Coturnix japonica: one gene and its partner. The protein of the gene in region 1 binds, or shares a complex with, the protein of each later gene. Links are inferred from orthologs where the notes say so. Each region holds a gene or a part of one and is shown on either strand. Other genes may lie near its edges.

Region 1 (3,807 bases):
CCACTCCTTGCTGCCACCCTGCCCTGCCCACATGCTGTCACAAGCCTCGGCCCTTCCAGACACGGGTACCTCTCAGTGACAGGAGAGCCCTCGGGTTTCTTTGAGATGATGAAGCGGCAGCTCAGCCCTGCATCCTTCACCATCTGGTCCCCCAGGAACTCTGCCAGGCGCTTGGCAGTGCTGATGGAGGTGGATTTCTGCTCCCCATAGTCCTCCAGCTTGCGAGACATGGAACGGTTCTCTGAGATGAGCTCAAACAGCTCCGAATCGGGCATGTTGGCAGCCTGAAGGCAGGGGGGAACAAATACACAGCAAGAGTTTGGTGATTTAACATCGCAGCATCCAACCAGCTCTTACACCTTCTTTTACACCACTTTAGGGATGCAGGGGGCAGCCAACCTGCAAAGCAATGTGTACCTTGCTGTACAGTACATCCAGCCAGTAGTCAGCCACCTTGGCCACAGAAGCATAGACCTCCTCCAGGGTGGTGCCTTTGAGGAAGGCCTCGAATACAGAAGACTGGAATATCTTCACCAGCTGCAGCTCACCTCGGCGCTTCACCTCAAAGCCCTTCAGCTCAGCCAGGGACCCATCTTCATTGAACACTGCATACCTGGGGTACATGGATTGTTTCATTTTGGGCTGTGAAAGCACAACAGTTTGTGCCCCAGTCCATCAGTACCAAGTGGGGGAATGTTCCAAACTGCACATCAGTAAAGGCCAGGAGGTGAGACAGGGTAAGGTGGGGGAGATGCAGGGGGAGATATCAGGAAGAGCTTTAGAGAAAAGAAGGAAGGTTCGTAAGCTTAGTGAAATGATTCAGAGGAAGCTGGATGTAGCTACTGATGAGGTTATAAGAATACGCTACCCTCCTCCCTTTCTTTGCTTATCCCTACCCTTTATTTGTATGCATGTCTCAAGATAAATCTTACAGAACACTCAGCTAACAGAATAGCAATGATACTCAAGCCCACGTTACTTTGACTGCCCAACTCATCAGTATGGATGCAGCCTTCTCTTCCTCCACCATTGATGGTGCCTACCAGTAAGCTTCAGGTTATTTCCATTTGAGCACAACCAAGGAATAAACTCCTTTGCCGACAACACCCAGAAACCACAGGGAATAAGGAGGCCCTGAGGAAGGGGCCCTGTGTACAGCATCCATTCAGTGCTTGGCATCAGTTTCATTCCTATGGCACAGACATGGCATGGAAAGGCACTGACAGGGGATGGCAGACGTTAGAACTTGTCTGATGTGCAGAGAGCACAGCCAGGCTGAGCATTTTAAGGACAGAGGGTCCTGGAGGATGGAAATGGCTTTTCTGAGTTCAGACCCAGGTCCACAGGCACCTCCATAGCTGGACATTGCTGGTGTTCCTACACAGGTTGCTGTGGAAAAGTCAGTGGTATTTGATGACAATCGCTTTCCTATATTTCAAGCTTTGAGTCCTACCTTTTCTTCAGCTTCTTTCCCTCCTCCTTGGAAGCTGGGAGGATCATGGCCAGGTATGGCCCATCCACTTCAAAGAAGATGCTGTTCTCTGAGCGTGTGATGTAGGTAAGAGAGGCTGGGTCCTGCAGCTCCTGGTACTGATCATTTGTGAAGCCTTCCTGCAGGCACAGCCCCAAAAGAACAGACTGACTCAACAGCTGGGCTGGTTCTACCAGGAGATACCACACTTTCTCTCCTTGTCAGTCCTCCATTCATTTCCCCAGACTGCAGAGCTGGCTGGGATGGGTGTGAGACTCACCTTCACCAGGATGTTCAGCATAGCACCTGGGTAAGAGATTGTCACCTTTGGCTTCTTGGCATTGGTTGACTTGATGACAAAGTTTTCTGGGAAGCTGTTGGGGAGGACGCACCAAATCCCATCTGTATCCAGTTCCAGAGGTCTCCTAAGGAAGATCACTCAGGAAATCAGAAGCTGATACCATATAACAGCTCTGCTGCTGCTTGTATGGGGGACACAGCCTCTTGCTTCACTATCCTGTCCCTTCTGCAAAGTGAGCCCTTGTAAGGCAGCAGAAAAACCACAACCACCAATGCCAGCAATCTGAATCTTCAACACGAAACACTTTCAGCATCTAATATGCTCCCATTGGTTCTATGCTCCACACTCAAACCCCACTCTCACTGTGTGCAGAAGAACCTTTCTTTCCCAGCTCAGCACATACTCACCCAATCTGCTCAATCAGTTCCCTGGCCTGTGTGATGATATTGGCCCCAGTGAAGCAGACGATCCCGGCCATTTCCATGGAGTACCATCGAGCTCTGGGAACAGAGGAGTCCAGGTGAAGGGGATGCAGTGCTACCCTGCAGCCAGCTATGGGAAAGGGCAGGAAGGCATCCAGAAGGAGAAGAGCAAGGAACAAGGCAGCACTGTGCCTTGGTAGATTGCTTTCCTTTCCTTCTTAATGGTTTTTTAGAGAATCTGAGAAAACACTGATAGAGAAGACTGCCGCCCCTTGCTGCTCAACACTACAGGTCTCAAAGATCAGAAGCCATTAATAGAAGCAAGAGAGAAGTGTTCCAGGGATCACCCATCCCTGTGCTATGGAAACAGGTGAAGCAAGTGGCAGCCTCCCCAAAACAATCCTGGGTGTTCTCTGGAGGACTCAGCAACAACGCCGGCTCAGACTCACCCTTTCCGCATGACATAGCCATAGAAAGAATTGAGAATGCATTTGTGTGCCAGCTGCAGGGAGTCGTAGAGGATCTCCATGTTCTTGCAGCGTTTCACTTCAGAGGCATCTCCTGTCTCCATGGCTGCAGACAGCTTCTTCTTCCACACCTGGGAGCAACAGGCAAAGTTGGAGAGGTGGTGGGTGCCCCGTCTTTGGAGACACCCAAGGTCATGTTGGGCCGGGCCCTGAGCACCTGATCAGCTGTAGGTGGCCCTGTTCATTGCAGAGGAGTTGGACATGATGGCCTTTAAAGGTCCCTTCTAACTCAAACCATTCTATGATTTCCCTACTCAGTACAAAGGCTGAACAAACCCATCCTTCAGTGCTCAGGCTTACAGCAGTTGGTGAGAACTCCCCATCCCCAGTAGGACAACGAAAGCAGGACTCAGCCCAATACCTTGTGCAGCCCCTTGAACTCATAGCGGCGGTCCCTGAAAGCTCGCACCGTGTCCACATAGAAGGAGTTCTCTCGTTGGCAGATGGTGGTGACCCTCTCCTCCACCTTGGTGACGTGGATCTTCTTGTAGGCTTTGCGGCAGTAATCTGCTCAAGGGCATAACAGGTTGTTTCTCAGTTGGTGCCCACCATGGATGGAGGAGGTGGACACACAGAGGGGGTGGACAGAACTGCATGAGGTTCTGGCTGAACAGCATTGATTTGTGCCTCAGCTCATGATATTAACTCTTACCTGCCAGCCGCTTCTTCTCATACTTGGCTTGTTCCTCTCGGGAGAGCTCGTGGAAAGCACGTGGTGCTCCATCAGGGAACAGTGGAGGGAACTTTTCTGACTCCAGCTGCTGCTGGATGCGGTGATACTCACTGCGGCTCGCAGGCACTGCAAGGAGGGCAACAGAGGAGAAGCAGGAATCAGCCTCAGCATCATCCAATGGGACAACAAGGTCTCTAGTGCACTCGGCCTCACTGAGTGGGACAGTGAGGTATCCGTTGTACTCACTGAATTCTCCTCTCCACTGCCACGTCATCCGGCGCTGGCAGTTGGCCCCTGGCTTGTTGAAGTCACAGGCAGCACACGTGGCCTCATCCACCATCGCTGAGGGCTAAGGAAGAGACACACAGGTATCAGAGGACGCTTGGTTTCAACCCTACCCTTATTTGATGCCC
Region 2 (3,705 bases), on another chromosome or scaffold:
GAAGGGCCCCGCTCTGCTTCAGCCCAGCAGGTTTTGCTCTGTCTGGGACAACTGAGGCTGCAGTTCTCATCTCTAAGTGACTTTGGCACCACTTTAGTGGCCAACACTTTACAGCTGCATGTGTAACTGAATCCAGAGCTGCTCCCAAAGGCCACAGACCCACGGTGAACAAAGGGACCCATTTTGTCCTGTCAGGACACCCCACAGCATCCCTGAGCCTCTGCTCGTGGGCTCAGCCCAAAGACAAACCCTGATTGACCTGCTGTGAGCAGGCGATGCTGCCCAGCAAAGCACAGCAGGGAGAGATCAGACACAAAACCAGGCACCCCTATGGGCCCTGTGCTCAATGGGCCTGAATCAGCCCCGAGGGCAGCAAAAGGAACCTGCTGGCAAGGAAGGCACCGTGCAGCTCTGCCCAAAGCAGGACAGCTCATGGGCCACACGCTGTGCTTTGGCAAGGGCAGGGAGGGCTGCAGCACAGCCCAGCAGATCCACGCACAGGAGAAGGGCCAGGTTCAGCAATGAGAGCAAAGGAGAAGAGCAGTGAAACACGGCAGGCAACGCCTTCAAAAGCAGGGATTTATTACTGTCCAGCTGTGACCATCGCAGAACTTGATGGAGCCATGCAGCCCTAACAGCAACACGAGCCTCTCTGCAGCTCATCTGTGTGCCTGGAGCGGAGCATCCCTTCCAAACTGCATCTGTGCCACAGGAACAGCAGAGCAGCACAGAGCAGCATCACTCAGAACAGCCACTCAAAACAGCTCCGCCTTTAATTGCACTGGCCAAAAAGGAACCCAACAAAACACACAGAGACCAAAACATCCACTTCAATAATGTATCTACAGACCAGCAGGTGGGATAAACCAACAGGGAGCTGCCTCGGGAGCTCAGCTCTGCTCCATGGTGCCTGGGGGGGGGGCAGGGCTGGGGAGCAGCAGCAGAACAAGGAGGTCAGAGTCCTACAAAATACTTACAACAAAAGCTTTCAACAAAGATCTTACAGACACTCAGTCGTTACACAAAGCACCGCGGCTGCCCACATTGGTGTCCCACTGCTGGGAAGTGCAGCCGGTGCCGGCCGACCCATCTGCACAGAACCCCATTGCTGAGCAGCTCAGTCCAAAGTGCCTGGAAACAAAAACAACGATGAAGCAAAGCAGCCTCAGGGACCAGAAAGGAAAATGAAACACAGCTACAAGAACAGCTGGAACTCGGGTTTATAGGGAGCTGTGGGTCTATGGAGGGGGCTATATGGGGATGTGGGGCTAAAAGGCCCAGATAAAGGGAGTATGGGGGGGAAACAGGGGGGCATGGGGCTATGGGGGGCTGTACCAGGGATATAGAGGAATATGTGGCTACAGGGAGCAGTGGGGGGGGCTATAGGAGGCTGTAGGGTTATAGGGGGGGCTATAAGTGGGGTGTGGGGCTGGAAGGCCCAGATACAGACCCAGATAGTGAGACCATGGGGCTGCAGGAGGGATACAGGAAGGATATAGGAGGGATATAGGAGGGATATAGGAGGGATATAGGAGGATGCGGGGCTGCTTTGAAAGGGATTATGGACTAATGGGGGAAACCGAAACTCACCCTCCAGAAAAGCGAACTCATCAACAGCCTCAATGGCGTTATCTGCAAAGGGAAAAGGGCTCAGTGCCGACACAGACAGAAGGGCCAACCGGGAAGAGCTGGGACGTTTCTCTTCTCTTCGGACCCCCCCCCCCGGTTCCGCCCCGTACCCAGGTCCTTCCTCTGCAGCGTTTTCCTCTTCCCCTGCTGGGCGAACACAAACGCGTCCTTAGCGATGTTCTCCACGAACAGCTCCTGCGGGGCGAGCACGAGCGTCACACGGACGGAACGGGACGGAACGGGACAGACCGGGACAGAACGGCACGGACCGGAGGCTGCCCCGCATTACCCCGCACTGCCCCGCGTTGCCCCGCCCGCCCCCGCCGCTCACCGCGGCCCGCGCCAGCACGAACACGGCCTCGTGGCTGGCCAGGCTGACGTCCGGGTCCGCCTTCACCAGCGCCTTCACCCGTGACAGCGGCAGCCTGGCACCACGCGCCGCTCCGGGTCCCGCTCCCGGTCCCGCTCCTCCCGCATCTTCCGCCGCCGCCTCCGGCCCCGCCGCCGCCGCCATCCCGCAACGCGCATGCGCAGTGAGTGCTGCCTGCGGGGCGGAGCGGAGCGCCGGCTGTCATCGCTGTGTGCCGCTGGGGGGCGCTGTGTCTCTGTGCCGCTGGGGGGCGCTGTGTCTCTGTGCCGCTGGGGGGCGCTGTGTCTGTCTGTGCCGCTGGGGGGCGCTGTGTCTGTCTGTGCCGCTGGGGGGCGCTGTGTCTGTCTGTGCCGCGGAGCCGGGCGCCCCGCACGGGACCGGGCCCCTCCCGCATCCCCGGCCGGGTTCTCCGTCCTCCCGCCGCCCCCGAACTCGCCCCCCACCCGCTCTGTGCCCCACATCCCGCCCTCCGGCCCCGCTGTGCCCCAAACTTCCGCTCTGTGCCCCAAATTCGGCTCTCCGCCCCCCTGTGCCCCAAACGCAGCCCCGCAGTCCCCATAACCCCCCATCACCCACGGACACGGACGGGGCTCCGCTCAGCCCGTTCCCCCCCGGCCCGATCCCTCCTGTGCCGATGCTGCGGCCCGGGGTCGCTCCCTGAGCCCACGTCGGTTCCTGGACGGGGCAGCAGCATCTCCTCCCCCCCCCCCCACTCTCACATTCAGGCCGCAGCCGCTTCCTGGCGTTGCGCGCAGCCCCGCACCAACACAACGTTAGGAAACAGCTTCTGCTTTCAGTGCCGGGCGGGCTGAGCTCCTGCAGCTCCTGCAGCTCCTGCAGCCCCTTCAGCCCCTTCAGCTCCTTCAACTCCTTCGGCTCCTTCGGCTCCTTCGGCTCGGACGGCCCGCACGGTTCTCAGGAGGGAGGAGAGCCCATAGGACGCGTCCGTGGATGGGAAATGGTGAGCGCGAATGGTCCGACCCGCACCCGCACATCGTCACAGCCGCACCGGGCTGGGGGCAGTGGCAGCTCCGGAGCCCCCCGAGCAGCTCCCGGGATGGGTCAGCACCGGGTGGGCTCAGACAGGACAAAGCATCGCGGTGCCAGACGCTGCTCAGGTCGCAGTGACAGCGGCGCCGTTGCCCCGACGGCGCCATCGCGGGCAGCTCCGCGTCCCGGCTCACGGAGCGGCCACAAACACCGGGACGGGTCCCAGCTGGAGCCCTCGGTGCCCTCCGAGCACAAATCCCATTTTCCACCGTTTTTTCGCTGCCGTCCGTGCAGAACGTGGGCAACGTGCGCTGCTGAGCCCCCGTGGGTTCTGCCCCGGGACCAGGGGGCACCTGCCCCTTTTTAACACCAATTTCACATTATTTAATGCCCCACATTTGAGATCCCGCGGCTGAAAATGTCGCGCTGGATTCTCTGCGCTCCGGCCGTTCTGTTGTGAAAGAAAACAAAGTGATGCAAGAGCAAAACGAACCGAAATCCCGGGAGGAGGAGAACTAAAGAGAGAGAGACGCGATGGGGGGGGGGGGTAAGGGGGAGAGGGAGAGGTTGGGTGGGGAGAGGAGCCGGAGGGGAGAAGCGCAGCTCGCCCTGCGCGGATCCGAGCCGGGATCGTGGCACAGCCCCGCGCTGCGGCCGCGCGCCCCAGTTCCGTGCCCCCATCGCGGGGTGAGCGGCAGGAAACGCTCCGGTCACAG

What was found.
Region 2: POLE (region 1) and POLE4 share a complex: the UniProt entries of both Homo sapiens proteins name them as parts of the DNA polymerase epsilon complex. The link is inferred for Coturnix japonica from reciprocal best matches to the Homo sapiens genes POLE and POLE4.

What each region holds. Positions count from the first base shown.
Region 1 is NC_029530.1:8,898,016-8,901,822, forward strand, and holds part of POLE (DNA polymerase epsilon catalytic subunit A), read right to left. Parts: intron 3,744-3,807; coding exon 3,641-3,743; intron 3,521-3,640; coding exon 3,374-3,520; intron 3,229-3,373; coding exon 3,083-3,228; intron 2,793-3,082; coding exon 2,644-2,792; intron 2,273-2,643; coding exon 2,180-2,272; intron 1,897-2,179; coding exon 1,752-1,896; intron 1,612-1,751; coding exon 1,454-1,611; intron 614-1,453; coding exon 418-613; intron 285-417; coding exon 70-284; intron 1-69. UniProt on the Homo sapiens protein: Catalytic component of the DNA polymerase epsilon complex. Participates in chromosomal DNA replication.
Region 2 is NC_029543.1:373,678-377,382, forward strand, and holds POLE4 (DNA polymerase epsilon subunit 4), read right to left. Parts: upstream 2,161-3,705; 5' UTR 2,144-2,160; coding exon 1,961-2,143; intron 1,825-1,960; coding exon 1,740-1,824; intron 1,633-1,739; coding exon 1,591-1,632; intron 1,132-1,590; coding exon 1,118-1,131; 3' UTR 566-1,117; downstream 1-565. Other genes in the region: PRAM1 (PML-RARA-regulated adapter molecule 1), read left to right, coding at 2,958-2,960. UniProt on the Homo sapiens protein: Accessory component of the DNA polymerase epsilon complex. Participates in DNA repair and in chromosomal DNA replication.